3 linked regions of the Ovis aries genome follow. The protein of the gene in region 3 purifies or fractionates together with the protein of the main gene of each other region. This does not show direct contact. Links are inferred from orthologs where the notes say so. Each region holds a gene or a part of one and is shown on either strand. Other genes may lie near its edges.

The links.
Region 1: the proteins of COPS7A (region 3) and DCAF11 purify together in Homo sapiens (affinity purification with mass spectrometry; 3 studies listed by BioGRID and IntAct, counting the BioPlex papers as one, with this or other methods). This does not show direct contact. The link is inferred for Ovis aries from reciprocal best matches to the Homo sapiens genes COPS7A and DCAF11.
Region 2: the proteins of COPS7A (region 3) and DCAF1 purify together in Homo sapiens (affinity purification with mass spectrometry; 4 studies listed by BioGRID and IntAct, with this or other methods). This does not show direct contact. The link is inferred for Ovis aries from reciprocal best matches to the Homo sapiens genes COPS7A and DCAF1.

Annotation. Positions count from the first base shown.
Region 1 is NC_056060.1:20,837,875-20,844,056, forward strand, and holds part of DCAF11 (DDB1- and CUL4-associated factor 11), read right to left. Parts: intron 5,963-6,182; coding exon 5,835-5,962; intron 5,601-5,834; coding exon 5,473-5,600; intron 5,200-5,472; coding exon 5,135-5,199; intron 4,822-5,134; coding exon 4,721-4,821; intron 4,484-4,720; coding exon 4,337-4,483; intron 4,131-4,336; coding exon 4,076-4,130; intron 3,722-4,075; coding exon 3,653-3,721; intron 3,311-3,652; coding exon 3,253-3,310; intron 3,155-3,252; coding exon 2,969-3,154; intron 2,611-2,968; coding exon 2,457-2,610; intron 2,042-2,456; coding exon 1,889-2,041; intron 1,069-1,888; coding exon 962-1,068; intron 872-961; coding exon 737-871; 3' UTR 712-736; exon of another isoform or gene 28-711; intron 1-27. UniProt on the Homo sapiens protein: May function as a substrate receptor for CUL4-DDB1 E3 ubiquitin-protein ligase complex.
Region 2 is NC_056072.1:49,423,531-49,428,604, forward strand, and holds the end of DCAF1 (DDB1- and CUL4-associated factor 1), read left to right. Parts: intron 1-2,884; coding exon 2,885-3,325; 3' UTR 3,326-3,740; downstream 3,741-5,074. UniProt on the Homo sapiens protein: Acts both as a substrate recognition component of E3 ubiquitin-protein ligase complexes and as an atypical serine/threonine-protein kinase, playing key roles in various processes such as cell cycle, telomerase regulation and histone modification.
Region 3 is NC_056056.1:209,554,160-209,561,096, forward strand, and holds the start of COPS7A (COP9 signalosome complex subunit 7a), read right to left. Parts: upstream 3,998-6,937; 5' UTR 3,882-3,997; exon of another isoform or gene 3,703-3,881; intron 3,416-3,702; 5' UTR 3,373-3,415; coding exon 3,211-3,372; intron 1,335-3,210; coding exon 1,259-1,334; intron 1,043-1,258; coding exon 954-1,042; intron 158-953; coding exon 1-157.

The sequences.
Region 1 (6,182 bases), on a different chromosome or scaffold from region 3:
AAAGAGAGAGACAGACAGATGCTGAGCCAGGTTCCCACAGTTTATTGAGGGAGCCAAAGCCAGTGATAGGACAAAGGAGTCCTACTTCAACATCCCTCCTTGAAGCTGCTGGCCTCTGGCATGATGGAACATTCTGGGAGGGGGAGGACCTGCCCTGTGTGGGGCCACACAGAGCCTCTCACACCATAGCCTGCCCACCCCAAAGACCCAGACGCATGAGAGAGAAGACATAATTCCTGCCGTGGGAGGGTGCTTATCCATCCCCCTCTCCCTGAGGGGCTAGAGCTCTAGCCGTTAGGACCTCTGGAACAAAGGCCAGCGCTCCTGGCCCTCTGACTGACCAGTCTAACTAATCCTCAATGTGAAGGCCTGGGCAATGGGCCTTGCTGATGGCACAGTTCAGACCTGGCCCCAGGCATCTACTCTAGGAGCTAACACTTAACATCCAAACATGATTAAAAACACTCAGGACAGTTCTGCTGATCAGATAATGGCAGTCCTGCCAAACCCCAGCCAGAGACAGAGGTCCAAGATGATTGAGTGTGAGCATGTGAGAGGACCACACTACCCCGAGGGGAGGCTCTCCCAGGGGCCAGCTAGGGGCCCAAAGCCTGGGATTCTGTTTCTCCCCAGCCAGTGCCAGTGAGTCCCCAAAGATCCCCCATAGGGGAGAAAAGAAGGAGAAGGTGGAGAGCTGGTGAAGAGGCTCACCCATGACTGGGCCTGGAGGTCAGATCTACTGGGGCGAGGAAAAGGCTGTAGAGGGGTGGGACATTGGGGCAGGGGTGCTGGGGTGCTCCTCCGACTCTGGCATGTCATCCTGGAAGTACTCAGCCTGGCGGTACTGCCACAGACGCAGATTCCCGTCCCACTGCAGGGTAGAAGATGGCAAGCAGTCAGGGGACGCTGCCCTCACTCGGTCCCAGACACACGCTGGCCACCCTCACTCTAGCATCCTCACCGAACTGCTGACAATCTTCTCCTCAAAGGGGTGCCAGCTGACGTCACGCACACAGGCCTTGTGGCTGGTCAGCTTCTTCACGATGTGGCCACTGAGGAGGTCGTACACTGTCCGGGGAAGGCCAGAGTGGAGAAGGGCAGCCAGAAGACCTTCCAGCCATCCCTCATCTCTCCCTGCCTCTCAGGCAACCTCCCACCTTCCCAGAGGAACAAAGCCCACATCTGGGGATGCTGTTAGTTTCTTTTCCCTACCTCAGGTTGAGAGTATGATCTAGCAGAGCCTGGGTATCTCTGGCCCTTAGCTAAATGTTACAGGGTCAACAGTTAAGAAAATGAAATGTGGCTTTAAAGCAGCCATTTTTTGGAAAGCTCACAAGATATGGGAGACACCACAAAGGTGAACATGGGCCTGTCTCCATAGACTTGTAAACCTGCTGCTCCTCTTCTGGACTCGGGTGTGCCTTCCTCTCTCCCTGGATGGGCCTTCATCTCAGCACCTCCCTAGGTCTATCTTAGGCTCTGTCTTAGGCTCCATCCATCTGTGTCTGTTTCTTTTCATGCATTCCTCCTGCTTCAGTGGCTGTACATCTTTTACGACTTGCTGCTTTTTGTGTCATTCTTTCTGTCTCTGTTCCCTCCTACCTTTCATCTGTAATCTCTTCCCTGACTGATTAAAAAACAGAACTGTGTATATTTTTGGTGATCTAGTATATTTACTGACTAGAATTCTGTGTTCCTTTCTTAATTTAAAATGCTAATGAATAGAATGTTTTCTCTTTCTCTGTTTAAGCCACCCTGCATCAGGCTAAATGAAATTTCATTATAGTTCTCACTGGATTTCTTAAGGTGCTCACTGGTGCTCACAGGCAGAATGCCAGGGGAACATTCCTGCCCTTCCCGAGACCCCCTGGTCTGACCCAGTCCTTACCGACCACTTTGCCAGTGGAGCAGCCACTGTAGATGAACTGCTGGCCGGTGCTGTGGGTGGGGGAGAATCGGCAACGGATGAGGGTGTGCAGCACCCCGTGGCCCCGGTAGGTCATCAAGGAGCTGTCCCCTGGGAGCTTCAGCTTCCGCCAGGCTGGGGAGGGATGCAGGGCAAACCCGGGGTTAGGGAGTCTGGATTCTCCTGTATCACCAGTCCTCAGCAAACAATGATGCTCATAGACAGTCCTCTTTCCAATCCCCAACTGGTGTCTCTTTCCCCACCAAACAGTCAGGTGATATACGCCAGTATGGCTCTGCTGATTGTCAAGATGCTGCAGTACTTTTGTATCCATTGGCTTGGAGTGAGTGATCCCCAGTTCCCACATTGGTAACTCCTGACTTTCCCACGGTTCAGCAAACAAAGAGTTAATGCCTGGCAAGGGGGCGTCAGGAGAGGGGTCCCAGCTTCATCCACCATGCCCACACTGGGCCTTACCACAGGTTAAATACTTTAACTAGCACTCCTGACTCTTCACTCTCCAGACCTCAGGTCCCGCTTCTGCTCTCACCTTTTTTGGGCACCTGCTGCCAGCGGTAGTCCCAGTTTTGCTGTGTGGCAGCCTGGCGAGAGGCTTCCATGCCTTCCCGGCTAGAAAAACGTCGGATATCCCAGAGCTTGATGGTCTGGTCTTTGGAGTTGGAGATGAGATATCGGGCATCACCCTGTGAATCCAGGATGGATAAGGAGGATCAGAGCCCCCCCTCTCAGTTGAGCGGTATGAACGCAGGCTGCTCTTTGGTCTCCTCTCTCTTCACCCAGGTGGGCCTCGCCATTGGTTTCCTACCACGGGCCACACACCCTGGCTAGGCTTCCCCTTCTTTGTCCAGCACACTGACTGGCTCCTGTTCTACCTTGGATCAGACTGTCTTCTACTTTTCTTGTACAGAAAGCCCCGCTCCTTGTGGATGGTGCTGATCTTGCAAACCGTGGCTAAAGGTGGAGCTTGGAGAGTTGCCACACCTGTTTGCTTTGATAGCACAACTCAGTCGCCTGGCTGTGCGGTCCTGCCTCTGCACCCACCTTACTGTCAATGAAAGTGATGCCGTCCTGATGTCCGGCAAGTGCGCCCACAGGCTTGGGGTCATCTTCTCTCATGGTGCGTCGATCCCACACTTTGCAGATGGCATCGTCACCCCCAGAGAACAGGATTTGGGAGCTGACATCAGCAAAGGCCACCGCATTCACATCATCCTCATGGGACTCAATCTAGGGGAGAAAGGGGCCAGAATGTTTACAACCTCTTTCTAGGTCTTCCAACAAGCCAAGGACCAGGAGGCGGGGGCTTGAAATCTCGGGAGCAATACCTGAAGGGTCCGCCGGTTCTGTTCTCGATCAAAGACGTACAGGCAGCCATCATTGGCCCTGAAGGGGAGGCGATAAAGAGGGCTTTGGAGCCAGAATCGAGAGGACCCATGCTACGTGTGCTCTGGAGACACTGTGTCTCGAAGTCCCGCTAAGGGGCAAGCCCTTGTGTCTTCTTATACAGGAGGTGGGAGAAGAGTTAGCTGTGACCTCCCATCTCGTGCTGGAGAAATGGTGCTTGAGAAGTGAAGCCACACATAAATCTTGGCCCTGGAGAAGTCCTGGTTGTTCTCCACAGCTGCCTGGGTACGGGTATCTACTATAGTCTCTGTAATGGTAGAGCCCGTTTCTGGGAGAATTTCTATCTCATTAAGTTCTGGGGGCATCCCCACAAACACTTACCCTCCTAGCACTTCTCGTCCATCTGAGGAGACAGCGATGGAGAATACAGCGAAGCGACGTTCATCTGGCCTGAAAAGAGACAAGGAGGAGCTGCATTAAGTGAACTTCCCTTTAGCCCGGGTTAATCCACAGAATGTGACAAGGGCCGTGAGGCACACTGCTGAGGGGAAAAGAAATCCCGCCAGCACACATGCCAGAATGTGGGGCACCTCAGTGAGGAACCAAGAAGAATCCTGCAGCCATCTATTTATCCTGGTCCTCTGGCTGACAGGCTGGGTGGTTCCCTCCCAGAAGTCCACACAGAGAAACTTGCAACCAGTGTACTTTCCCCTCTAAGTGGGAGTTCCAGTTCAAGAGGTATGCTCCTAGAGAGCCTTTCTTGAGTAGTTTCTGATGAGTCTGACCAGTAAGGGAAGCCAGTACCTTAGATCCAGGGCAGTGTGTGTGTCTCCCTCCCCGTAGATGTTGCAGATATGAACTAAGAGAAGCAAGAGAAACAAGAATCTTTCAGGGCTGAGGTAAGGAGGGTAGAGCCAGGGAAGAGATAGAACAAATGGGAAGGAAGTTGGACCTGGGGAGTAATTTGTCCAGGAAAAGGCATGGAGTCATGGCACGGAGGAGATGGGTGTTTGGAGACCTCAGGTCCCCAGCTGGAGAGACCATGGAGGTCTGGGGCACACTCACTGTAATCGGACCAGCTGGAGTAAAGGAAATGGTTCCCATCAGGGGTGAAGGCCACATCCAAGACGCTCCAGCCGACATCTCGGGCTTTGATGCTCTTGAATTTACGAAAGCGGCCATACCGGCAGTCATATAGTCGGATTGTCTGGTCTGTGTGAGTGGCGATCAGGCAGAATTAGAAAACAGCCTCCTGGAATCCTCCCTAGGTCAGACCTCTCTCGCTCACCACTGATCTGTGGAATCTTCCCTTGATCATGGGACAAAACATGTGTTCTAGCTAAGCATCCTTAAGCCAGGGTCTGAGCTCCCTGGATCTGGGGCTTTCTAGCATCAGTCAGAGGGAACATCTCTCGTTCTAAGGCAGCTGGTAGGACTAGGGTATGGTACCTTGACAGGCAGACATGAAGATTTGACCATCTTTGCTGTAGATGCCACAGAAAGCTTTCTGAGAGTAGGTATCGGTGAAGCCCAGATCGTTGGGCAAGAAGCTGGGGAAGCAGAAAGAAAGTGAGGGTAAGAGGAGCTCAGGATGGCTCCTTGTCCCAGTTAGTAGCATCCTAACACAGCTGGATGTGAGTACAGGGGCATTCTTCCCGGCTTTGGGTATAAGCCTTTGTCTTTGATTCATTCTATCATCCTCTCAATTGCTATACTTTTCCACTTTGCTCATTCTCAAAGCCTCAACCCCACATAACCTAACTTTAATATCCTTGAGAATCCTTTAACACTCATCCTTTTAAGGTTTAAGAAAGTTTAGACTTATCTGGCCCCTGGAATCTCTCCACCAAGCCCCATACTCACTGAGACATCACTCGAGACCGTTCTCCAAGGGAGAAGCTTCCCTGGTGGCAGAGGCCCCGTTCTCTCTAAAGGAAGGGATTGGGGAATATTGCTAGTAGAAACAGAGGGCCACCTCAGCCACACCAAGCCCCCTCCTCCAAAATATTGCTCTTGCTACAGGAATGAACCCAGCACATAGTAATATGTCCCACCAAATGCCCACTCAGGCTGGTTGAGAGTGCTCCAGCTCCAGCACTTGAGGCTTCCTTGGAAAGTTTACTTCCCTCTTCTCTGGGATTGTGGATTCTGGCTGCACTAATAGTCCTGCTGCCAGACTGGCTGGATGAGGAGAGGCCTACCTGGTGCAGCATTTGAGGAAAGCTGAGCTCCCGGGCTGCCCGCCTAAGCCCCAGCCGCCCTGTGGCCAATTCCACTTGTGTCTTGATCTCACTGCATTCCAGCTCCCGGGTGTCAGGGGTTGCATCCACTGTGAGCACCAAAGAGAAGTTTCATCCTAGGTCTTTTCCAGCCCCAGCAGATAGTTAGCAAGGCTGTGCTCAGCCTTCTCAATGTGGCTGAATATACTGGGGCTGCAAAGACTCCCTCATTCCTTGAATTATCTCAGCTTTTTCTTTCAATTTTTGCCAAAATTAATTTTTTTAAAAAAGTTTTGTAGTGGAAATCCTTTGATGTCAGGGTCTCTGTCTGTCTTTCCTCTTACCTGGTGGATTGTATCGGTCTCCAAGACGACCATCCCAGGCACTGTCATGCTCTTCCTCTGAGTCCGAGAGGGCCTGGATGAGCTGCAAATTTGCTGCACCTCCTCCCTGCACCAACCTCACTTGGCCTCTGTGGAGAGACCCCCCCACCCCGTGATAAAGGGGAGGATCCCTTCCCCAGACCAACCAAATTCAGAGTCAATGGTTATGTAGTTCATAGACCACCTTGTCCTCAAACCCCTGTACTGTCCCCATGTTGAGGTTTGAGGCTGACTAGACCATGGCTGTTATTTTGTCTCCTATAAGACACACCAGGAAGCTAATTTTCACTCTTACAAGAGGAGCAGAAA
Region 2 (5,074 bases), on a different chromosome or scaffold from region 3:
AGTGCACACCAGTTGATCTGCTCCCTGAACTGGAGAGGGGAGTGGGTTGGTTTATCTGCAGGGGTTTGGGGCTTTTGGGTAACCATGAAATTGACATAAGATGGAACCCAGAAGAGAAGAGCGTTGAAATTCTTTCTGTAGAATTTGTTAGTTTAAAACAGCCTGGCCCTGAATTCGTGTTTCTAAGCCCTGAAAGAGAGGTCTTAGGGAATTAAAACAATACTCATTGATCTAAATGTGGCTGGAGTTGAGTCAGGATTCTAGCAAGATTGCCTCTTTCATTAAGTAATAATTTCTGGATCACTTTTTTGACCACTCAGTGGAAGCTTTGTTCTGTAGATACGAAGGTGAGGGCCTTTGCAATTTACAAAGCAGGTACTGAAACCTGCAAGAATGCTCTTAAAATTGCTTCCTCAACTCTGTTTTGGGTTCAACCACAGGATTAGATTTTACCACAGCATTTTGGATAGATGTTGTGAGCTTCTGTTTCATGCTCCAGGTTTCAGATTTAAAAGTTAGAAAGTGAGCTTATGGTCATATCCACGTGTAACAAAATACATGTTAAAGCACTGGCCATTAAATCCAGAGTATAAATGACTAAGTGCTGTGTTTGGAGGTTCTGGTAGATTTCTCCTTCCCGTTCATTTCCCTTTTTCTGTTGTGGTCACATAGATCGTCATGGCCTTCTGGGATGAAGAAATACAAAATTATTCTGCTACACGATTAAAGGTTGGGTTTGTAGGCTCCTGGAAGAATCTGGAATGGTGGATAGACTGGTTGACCTATTTTCTAGAATTGCTCTTGATTTTGGAGCTTTTTCTTAGTTTTCCTGAATCAGCCGAGCTTTGATGTTTTTAGAAATGAAGATTGATCTTCCTTAAATGTGCTGGATAACGGATGCCTGTGTGAACAGTTTACCCTTTTATTTACTCAATTGCGGGCCTTTAAAAGTTATGCCGTCCTGAAACACTTAAAGTTTATATAAATTGCCCAAGTTCATACAACACATAATTGGCAGAGCCAGGATTCTAACCCTTGCTTGTTGGAGCCCAAAGCCTAGGCGTCTTTTCCTGTCATGTACTCTGAATACAGGGATGAGCGTGTGTATCATTCACTACGTGTTCACTTCTGAATCGAAAGTAGTACCATCTGGATGCGGAATAGCATGCATATCTTCTATTCCAGAGCCTAAGAAGCAGGGCCCTGGATACTCTTTTTTAATGTACTTGTTTTTAACTGTGGTACTTTACTGATGAATTGGAACTAATTTTGGCCACGGCCCTGAAAACATGCCTGGAAAAAGAGGTGCGAGAGTTTGTAATCTGGTGAACACTGTGAATTAGTTCCCTGAATTTTGACCCTTCTCTCCTTTCGCAGTTATTTGTATGAGCTGATGTACTTGGGGCCAGGAGCTTGTCCGTGCGTCAGTTTATTTTTAATGCCTCCAAGTACTTTCAGTTCATTTCCAGTGGATAAATGCTCAGTAGCTGTTCACATGTAGGTGATGTATGGTGAGGCTGTTCAGCAAGGGTTGCAGGTCGTCCTGGGTTCTGTTCACACACACACACAAATTCTGGTATGGAATGTACTTGTACAGGTATCAGGAATACTGGGTATTTAACGTTTTTCCCATATAGCTGCCAGAAATTGTTGAAAAGTCTCAATCAGTGGCCAAACAGCAAATCAAAAAGTCTAAATGGTGGCTCCAGTTATCAAAGGTTCATAGAGCAGAGCTGCTGTGCTGATGGGAGCCTGGTTCGCACGACCGCTGATGAGCACCAGTGGCTGGATGAGTTGTGTACTTGGTTTTTAAGTGATTGGCATGAAGCAGAACTTTCAAACATGTTTAAAAAATACTTCTTCTGCTGTGGATGGGTTGTTCTGTCGTGACTTTTGTTAGGCTCTGGTTCCGTGAATCTTGTATTTTATTACTGCAGGAATTAGGATCCTGTCGCTGCTGGCAATGCTCACAGTTGATGTTTGAGCAGCAGGATTAGTGATTGAATGTTGGGAACAGCTGCCATCCCTCAGAAAGCAGAGGTGTCTTTGTGTCCTCTCTTGGTTGAAGGGAAACGGTTTGGATTTTGGTGCAAAACTGAAATGCGGCAGATGCCAAAGTGTATCATTTCCAAAGCCCAGGGCCCCAGGGCCAAGCACTTCATTAGTCTTCTGGTATCTGCTTACCTTTGGGAAGATCTCTTAAGAACGAAGTATGGACGGTTTCTCTCGCATACTGGGGGTTAATATGTGGCTTGTAACAGAAAATACAGTCTTAGTGTTATATACATAGTAAAAGTCTATTTTGTTGGATATTCAGATCATGGGATGCTTGTGATGCGGTGTCAGAGGTTTACCCACGCTTTATCTGTGATTAGAAGATCGAGGACAAGGATGGAAAGGGCTTAGGAGCCAGTGCCACAGCTGTTATTTGTCTTGTTTGATTAAGCATTGCTTTTTAGATACCAGGTCGAAGCTTTTATTCCAGTACCTCAGCTGATTTCATTTGATTTGGTTGATGCAAGAGAGAGAGAAGAGCCTCTTTGGGTTTGTTATTAGTTAGCAACCTAGAATCGATGGCAGAGACTTCTGTGGAGTGTTACCCATTTCCTTGGAGAAGGGCTGCGTGCCGAGTACTGCCTTGGTGGGTGGCCAGCAGTCCTTGTCTGAGGGAGCGCTTGGCGCCTTGGGGGACGCGTGCGCGCCTGTCTCAGCCGTCACTGACGAGTCACGCTGGCCCGTGAAGTCTGTGCTGAAACCTGGATCACCGTGTGCTCTGCTGCTTGTTCCCGCCGCTCCTCTGGGGAGCCGGGGAGAGGCTCCCTGTGTGGCCAAGGTGGCCCGGGTCTTGGTGTCTTGGCTAACGGACCTCATGCTTTCTTACCAGGAAGAGGAAGAGCAGGAGGAAGAAGATGACGACGAAGACGACGACGACACTGACGACCTGGACGAGCTGGACACGGATCAGCTGCTGGAGGCAGAGCTCGAGGAGGACGACACCAACGAGAACGCAGGGGAGGACGGGGACAACGACTTCTCGCCCTCGGACGAGGAGCTGGCAAACCTCCTGGAGGAGGGGGAGGACGCGGAGGACGAAGACTCAGACGCGGATGAGGAGGTGGAACTGATCCTGGGGGACAGTAAGTCTGCGGCTCACTGTGAGCCTGGGCACCTTCCCTGTGCCCACCCGGCCCCGAGGGCAGCCGCACTGGGGTTCTGCGCCCGGAACAAGTCGCCACCCAGGCCCTTGAGGAAAAGTCCTTCCATGTCTCTGTTCCGACGTGTTCCTGATGTGGCGTCTGTCACCAGCGGTCTCTCATCTCTCTAAAACAGGGGTTGGCACTTTCTGTAAAGTCTGGACAGTAAATCATTTAGGTTTTGTGGGCCCTTCTCTACTCATCTCTGCTGTTGCAGTGTGAGAGCACCCAGAGACGAGGCGTAAGGTAACGATGTGGCTCTGTTCTAGTTAAGTAGCTGATGGGCTTGGTTTGGCCCATGAGCTGCAGTTTGTTGACCTGTTTCAGAGGATTAGCCTTAGCCTGGAAGGCCGACGTGCAGTTCTCCTGAGAGGTTGTCGGTTGCAGCTGCTCACAGGGAGCTTGTTCCTGCCCCTTCCCAAAGCTGTGGGAAATAAAAGCTGTCTCGTGCGTTGCAACGCCTGCTTCCTGCTCTTGCCTACTCCCTCCTAAAGACTGGGGGACAAATGTTCTTTTTGGCTTGTTTAGTAAAAGTTTTAAAGAACAGGCTCCAGTTTTTCTTGTCCTTCCCCCTTAGAACATGTCTGAAGTCAGACTGCCCCGAGTGCACTGATGGACCCTGAGCAGACCGGCTGCCAGTTCCCAGGGTGCAAGCCCTGCAGCTGCACCTGTTTCGAGAGGACATGTTTGGCAGCGTCACTGGGGACGTGTGTCACTGTGAACCCACTCGTGCTCGCTCGGTCCTGGCTCTTCCTGGTGCTGCCCTGCCTGGCTGGGCAGAACCCTGTGACAGCCGCCACTTTCCACATAGCGCTCTGGCAGCATTCTCACAGCCACGGCAGGCAGCAGGTAGCCAGTCACCACCTAGGCCACTGAGGTGCCCAGTCCCCCATTCCCACATCCACACTGCAAGTGCTCGTTACAGTGCCGCACAGCACAGACCCAGAATGTCTGCATGGCCACAGTCAACCGTGCTGGTCCAGACCCAGCACGTGCAGGCCTCTTCAGAGTAGATGTTTGGTCTTCATAGTCACTGGTGTTTGGTGCTGGGGGTGAAAGGAGTGTGTATGTAGGTGTGAGGGGTGTGCGTGTCTGTCTCTGGGTGAGTCTCCTATTCCACAATGACCGGAATCTGTTTTCTGTGGGATCTTATGCACCTGGCTCTTAGGACTGAAGGCAGTTGACTGAAAGGAGAATGTCTTTCTTACATGAAGGCTTCTCGGCCAAGCTGTATTTTGAGGACGCTTTATGGGGCTGGGAGGGCATGCCTTGTATCTGTCTGCCCATCTGCTGTTTGCCAACTTCCACTTTTTCGTACTTAGAGGGTGAGGTGATTCAGTGAAGGAGGACTTCTCTTCCCTAGCGATGGTCAGAGTGCTAGATAAGAGGGACTAAGGAGCAAGGGAAAAATGACGATATTGATGGGAATAAAAAGGAAAGTTTTACTGAGCTTTTTTGTTACCTGTGACACATGGGCACAAATTTGTTTCTCTTCAGTTAAAACTAGGCGGGCCAGGGGAACAGCTGGTACCCCTGACTGACCTAAGAGTATCACTAATCTTTTTCCATTTTTAGTTAATGTAACATTTTTATTTGGTCTGTAAAATTCCTGCTTCTTTTAGCCTTTTACTGTTCATTCTAGGAAATTCCTTCTTTCAAGTCCAAGAGGTAATCTGGAAAACCCTGAGTTGATGAGAGAATGTTACTTTAACTTGGTGGGAGTGTTGATAACGTGAAAGTGCCTTTACAGATGACAGGCTGGGCTCTAGAATTGTGGTGATGTCGAGATGGCTTGTACAAAGTGTGTGCTCTACCCTTTCTGTTCGGAGGATGAGAAAAGGGTAAGGAAGGTAGAGAAAGGAGTCCTGTCACCTGACCAC
Region 3 (6,937 bases):
TGTCCCGCCCAATGCTGTAGTCGACCTCCAGCCGCTGGTGGCGCTGGTCCAGGGAGCCGCGTAGCACGTCGGCGTACACGGCCTCAATGACCAGGTCTTCTAGCTGCCTCACGTTGCGCAGGGCTAGCGCCTCCAGCAGCACTGCATAGGGGATACACTGGGGCCCCAGGGCAGTGGGGTTTGTGTGGGACCGTGGCAGAGACGGCTTCCAAGATCCCCTTCTCTCCACCCCCCTGCCCACCCTCCACTCCTACTCCTGATCACCTCCTCTAAGAGGCTGGTTCTAAGGTAACATAAATAACAAGTATTCCCACCTGAGAAATAACACGGTAAGAATCTTAAATAAAAGACATACACCCTCTTGGACTTCCCAGGTGGCACTAGTGGTAAAGAACCCGCCTGACATCACGGGAGGATATGGTGTGGGGGAGGTCTGGAGCTCCTCCATCTACTTCCAAAGAGGCATCTCACAGGAGACAGCCTGATTTAAGTAAAACCGTAAGCATGACGGAGGAGAGTGAGGTAACAACTGGGAGATGCAGATGGGAGGGGGGATAGTCAAAAAACAGGACCCAACAGTGAATACAAATGTGTAACACTTCTGGGTTATAGACTTCTTTCTTTTTGGTCACATGGTACAGCTTGCAGGATCTTAGGGGAGGAGGGGGCTGTTGAAGGACACAGCCAGCAGCATCCGTGTTGCTATCCTGAATCCAAACGCAAAAGGTGTTTTACTTAGAACCTGAGTTGGTCGAAAAGCAAAAGAGAAAACTTCCAGAATCATATTCAGCCCCAAAGGCCGAAGGTAATGGAGTTCAGATGTGGGACCTGGAGGATCGTTGAGGGGGGCAAGAAGAAGCAACACGGTGACCGTTCCCTTCCGATGGACCCTCGAGAAGGGACATACAGAAAGGTGTTCTGTGACTCAGGACCCGGTAGGGACTGTCACTCACCTTGACTTTGGCAGCCAAGGTGACGACCGATAGGTGTCGAAGCTTATTCTTTTGAGCCTCTGTGAGTGGGGGAAGATTCCGGGCTTCGGCTAGAAAAAAATAAAGTGTAGGAAATCCTGATTTGCACTTTTGTGGGAAGTCCTAGCCTCCTTTTTTCTTTTTTAGTTTTCCATGCCAATTCAGGTCTTGACTCTGACCCTGACCCAAGGGATCTAAGTCAGGTACCCCAGGAATGTCTTATAAGTCCCTCTGTAAATTGCCCTTCTCCCACCTCCAGTCTTCAGAGCTCCAACCCCTCCGGTTACCTAAGTAGTCAGCATACGTCCCGTAAGCAAACACTGTGAGCAGCCGGAACGTGGAAGCGAAGTCGCTCTCAGCCAGCTGCGGAAACACGAGGGAAGAGAAGCGATGACAGGAAGGGCCTCTCTCTCCACCCTCCAGACCCTGCCTGTTTGAACTCCAATCTCCAGGCCCAGCTCTCCCCTCCAACATTAGCTCTCCCAGCTCATCGAAAGGAATTCTCTGCGTCTCGGATTGCTCTCCCCAAGGAAGCCTCATTTTCACCTCCAGGCCTTTGCGGAGTCTGTCCCCCAGACCCACAACACCCTCTTCCTCCATCTGCCTCCCAATTCCTACCCTAAAGTCAAAAACTTTCGTAGTGTTTAGTTATCTAACACATTTCACACACACGCACACCCCCCGGACATTACAAACTGTGTTGTTTCATCCTTAGAGTATATCTAGTATTTCTGAATTTGAATACCTTTAGGGAGTCTGCTGTACTCGCCAATTCACCAAGGACTTCTGCCTTGGCCTCACTCCCTGGACAGCTGCAGGATCTGGGCCGGCATTGGGAGGTGCCTCTGCCTCACACTGGCCTCAGCTGGGAGCATGAATCACTCAAGCCAGTCCACCCAGGCCTCCTCTCCTCCTACCACTGATCACCCACTTAGTCCATCAAAGCCCACCTGATGCTGTTACCTAACAAGGTCTTTCTTTTCAACAAGATTACAGCCTAGTTCCTGCTATCCCACTCAGATCTAGCAGAAAATGTGCATGTACTTGGCTTTGCTGATAAATACTTGCTAAATAAGTGATTTATACATGGATATCCATTCATCTTATCTGCACAACTGGAATGTATGTTTCAAAAGGGGAGCCCCGTGGTTTGTACTCTTCTGGTATTTCCAGATGACTAGAAGAATGCTAAACAGGCACCCCAAACCTACCTCTTTTCCTTCCCCTTGATTCTCTTTGATTCCACTGCAGAGGAAAGCAGGGAAAGAAGGCAGCCAGTTTTCTTTGGACAAGAAGGATCCCAAAAGGTTAACTGCATTGACTCAATCACTGGCCCTCAAAAAATTTACTCAGAGTTCACCCACCTACCACTGTCAGAGTATCTCAGAACTTTGGCTAGTGCCATACATCTTGGTAATCTACTCACTCTGGACTTCAAACTCTTAATTCTATCACTTCTGTGGGAACAGTTCTCTCCCCTGTGTTCCTAGCATATTATTGTGCGTCTTGAAGAAAAAGATAACTTCTACCTTAGCTAACTTAAGCGAATTTACCGGTCATGACAATTTCACATTCATTCCTTCTATTTGTACCAGACTTTACACTTTCACATAATCTCACCTGATTTTTACGACACTGAGGGGCAGTAACAGGTCCATTTTGTTTTGTTTTTGTGGCCATACCATGTGGCATGTGGGATCTTAGTTTCCCCACCTGGGATCAAACCTCCACCGCCTGCACTGGAAGGTGGAGTCTTAACCACCGGACTACCAGGGAAGCCCCCGTGTCCAGTTTTTAAAAAGAAAATGTAGGTCCTAAAATAAAAGTGACCTGATAAGGTAACAGGCTTCCCTGGTGGCTCAGACAGTAAAAAAAATCTGCCTGCAATGCAGGAGACCCGGGTTTGATCCCTTCCTGGGGAAGATCCCCTGGAGTAGGAAATGGCAACCTATGCCAGTATCCTTACCTGGAGAATACCATGGACAGAGGAGCCTGGTGGGCTACAGTCCATGGGGTCACAATGAGTCAGATACCACTGAGCAAATAACACATACTACAATCAAGGTAATATGATTAAGAGCCATGACATTGATGGAGACAGGCTAGAATCAGGTCTCCTATTCTGAATCACAAGCTCTTATTCAGCTGAATGGTTATCGGGTTGAAAATGAGCCCTGTCCACCCATTCTTAGTCTTTAGCCCCAAGCCTCCTTGGAAGCTATCCAGGTCAGGAACCCACCTCTCTAACATTAGGCATATCCAGCAGTTCCCCAAACACGTAGACACCAGGGGCCTCCAGCACCTGGTGGATGAGTGTGGCCAGCGCTGCCCCCTTGGCCGACTTGGCCAGGAGCAGAAACTGCTCCTGGTTCTGCCCCGTCACCTTGACCTCCGCACTCATGTTGGCGCTGAGCTGGGGGGACCTGGGCTCAGGAAGTCTGCAGCTGCAAGGAAAGAGGATGGGAAGCTGGAGGTTTCTGAACTGGGGAAGCTGGAAATCACAAGGCCTACGGGCTGGATTGCAGAAGCACTGAGCCACTTTGTAACCATAGTGTAACCCTTGTATCTTAGGAATCCTAAGATCAGCCACTTCGATGGCACCCTGGCTGATACAGCGTTGTCACGCCCACCTCCCCCATGTCTGAACCTATCCCCAAATCCCACCACGTGCACCCCATGGAACTCCAAAGCACAAGTCTCAGTGGGGAAAGGGATGTCACATAGTGTTCACCCCAAAGACGACGCTCCCCCAAATATCCACTGTGCCCCGCAGGTGCCCCACACCACGTGACCTCACCCTAGCGATCCTTTCACGTGGCTCCGCCCCCTCCCTTAAAGAGGCCGCCGAGGGACCGTGGGCTCCCGCCGGCCACCCCGTCGTACTCTGGGTCAGACTCTGCGGCCCGCTACCTGGAAGCTCCGTCTTCCAGCGCACCGGGCGGGGCCACCGCTCCGTCACCTCCGGCAGCTGTTCTCAGCTTTTCCTGCCACCTCCCTGCAGGGTCACTCTAGCCCCTAAACTCTATGGCTGGCTTCCGGCCGTACTTCCGCTCTTATGGGGAGGATTTCGGGCGCGACATGCCCCGCCCTCGCCTCTGACTGTGAAGCTCCCGAGAGCGACGCAGGCATTCTGCTCTCTGATTGGCTGTTGAGGAAAGGCTGATGGGCGGCTTTTTTTCCTGCTCTGTTTTAATAAAACTTTATTGTTGGTCGGGTGCTAGACGCTAAATGACGGGGGGCTCCTAGTCTCCGGCAGGTCCGGGCTTGTTCAGAGTTAGATCTAAGCTGCCTGCCTAATAGCTCGGAGAAGGAAATGGCAACCCACTCCTGTAGTCTTGCCTGGAGAATCCCATGGACGGAGGAGACTGGTGGGCTGCAATCCATGGGGTCGCTAAGGGTCGGACACGACTGAGCGACTTCACTTTCACTTTTCACTTTCATGCATTGGAGAAGGAAATGGCAACCCACTCCAGTGTTCTTGCCTGGAGAATCCCAGGGACGGGGGAGCCTGGTGGGCTGCCGTCGATGGGATTGCACAGAGTCGGACACGACTGAAGTGACTTAGCAGCAGCAGCAGCCTAATAGCTCGACTTCTGGCTTCATGGGGTGGTTGAGGTGAGAGGAAAGTTGTGATCGGAAGAGAGGGTCAGAAAGGAAAAAGGAAGGTAGGATGAAGAGAAGAGAAGATGACGACATCAGTAGTAGAGGTCCAGTAGCAGAGATCACCTGGGTATAGCAACCACTCATTTTTTTGGAGGAGCAAGAGAAAAAAGTGAAAACAATAAAGGAGATAGTAATAACTGCCATGTAGTGAATATTCCCTGGTGGCTCAATGGTAAAGAATCTACCTTGCAATGCAGGAGACTCCGGTTTGATCCCTTGGTTGGGAAGATCCCCTGGAGAAGGAAATGGCAACCCACTCCAGTATTCTTGCCTAGGAAATCCCATGGACAGAGGAGCCTGACAGACTCTAGTCCATGGGGTCGCAAAAGAGTCTTAGCAACTAAACAACAAATTGAATTTAACTATTGAATTGAACAAATTGAACTATTGATCAGACATCTTTTAAAATTAAAACTGCATCCCACTGAATCCTTTTAACAGAGTCCCCATTGTGACTCCAGGACACCATCTTATCATGATTACATGTGTTTATACAGCGATGCTTTTCTGTAATATTGACTCTTTTACTTGCTGGGGAAGGGAAAAAAAAAAAAAACCTAAGAGGAGGGAAGGCATATATTGTTACTCTTACTGTACAGCTTAGAAAAACTGAGGCTAATAAAAATCGACTTTACGTGGAACCCATGTGTTTTCAAATCTTTCCAATTCACCATGATACTTTGGGTGAAAAAAAATAAACAAGTAACGTTTCTATGCTGCTGCTAAGTCGCCTCAGTCGTGTCCGACTCTGTGCGACCCCAGAGACAGCAGCCCACCAGGCTCCCCTGTTCCTGGGATTCTCCAGGCAAGAACACTGGAGTGGGTTGCCATTTCTTTCTCCAATGCATGAAAGTGAAAAGTAAAAGTGAAGTCGCTCAGTCGTGTCCGACTCCTAGCGATCCCATGGACTGCAGCCTACCAGGCTCCTCCATCCATGGGATTTTCCAGGCGAGAGTACTGGAGTGGGGTGCTGTTGCCTTCTCCGAACATTTCTATTGTGTTCTATATTTCATACTGGCCTTGCAGAAGGTCAAATCAGAGCAAAGTTAATGATGTCTTGGAGCTTTCGGGTGAGGCACTGAGCTAATAGTTTACTTATTCAATGATACTTAAAACAATTCATTATTGTTTCTCTTTTCCAAATGGAAAAACAGGCCTCGGGGAGTTAAGTAAACAGGGAAAAGAGAGAAGGAGATGAAAAAAGAATGAGGAAGAAGAGGCAGGGGAGGAGAAAGAAGAATAAATGAGTTGGTACCTGAAAGTGAGAAGGAATCAAAGGCATAAAAAACCGTCCAAAGTTTGGAGGAACCAAATAATTATTCGATCTAACCATATCTATTAATATTTAAAAAGGAAAGGAAAAAGAGAAATATGAGGAAAGAATGAGAAATGAGTCAACATATATTTTATCATGTGCCAGGTCTTTATTTGTTCAATGTTTTAAAGACTATATTTTTAGAACAGTTTTAGGTTTACAATAAAATTGAGAAGAAGGTATAGAAATTTGCCATATAGGCCCTGAGCCTACACGTGCATAATCTCCATTATTAACATCAGTCTAGGGACTTCCCTGGTGGTCCAGTGTTTGAGACTCCATGCTCCCGCTGCAGGGAGCATGAGATCCATCCCTGGTTGGGAAGCTAAGATCCTACATGCTGTGCAGCATGGTCAAAATTTTACCTAAGGGTTGACTCTTGGTGGCATACATTCATTGGGTTTGGAAAACCGTATAATGACATATCTATAATTATTATGTATAATATATACATAATATCCTTGCCCTAAAAAATCCCTATGATCTGCCTAGTTATCTCTCTCCACCTCCCACCCCTGGCAACTACTTATACTTTTGTCATCTCCATAATACTGCCTTTTCCAGATTGTCATAGAGTAGAAATCATTCAGTACGTAGCCTTCCCAGATTGGTTTCTTTCACTTTAAGTTTCCTCCATGTCTTTTTGTGGCTCGTTAGCTCACTTCTTTTTAGTGCCAAATAGTATTCCATTGTCTGGATGTATCACTGTTTTTGCATGCAGCTATTGAAGAACATTGGTTGCTTCCAAGCTTAGGCAATTATGAATAAAGCTGCTCTAAACATCCATGTTCAGGTTTCAGTGTGGACATAAGTTTTCTCATCCCTCAGGGAAATACCAAAGAGCACAATTCCTGGATCATATGGTGAAAGCCTGTCCAACTAGGCTGTACAACTTGTGTTCCCACCAGCAGTGAGTGAAAACTCCTGTTGCTCCACACGCTCACCATCACTTGGTGTTGTCAGTGTTCTAGATCTGGGCCACTCTAAT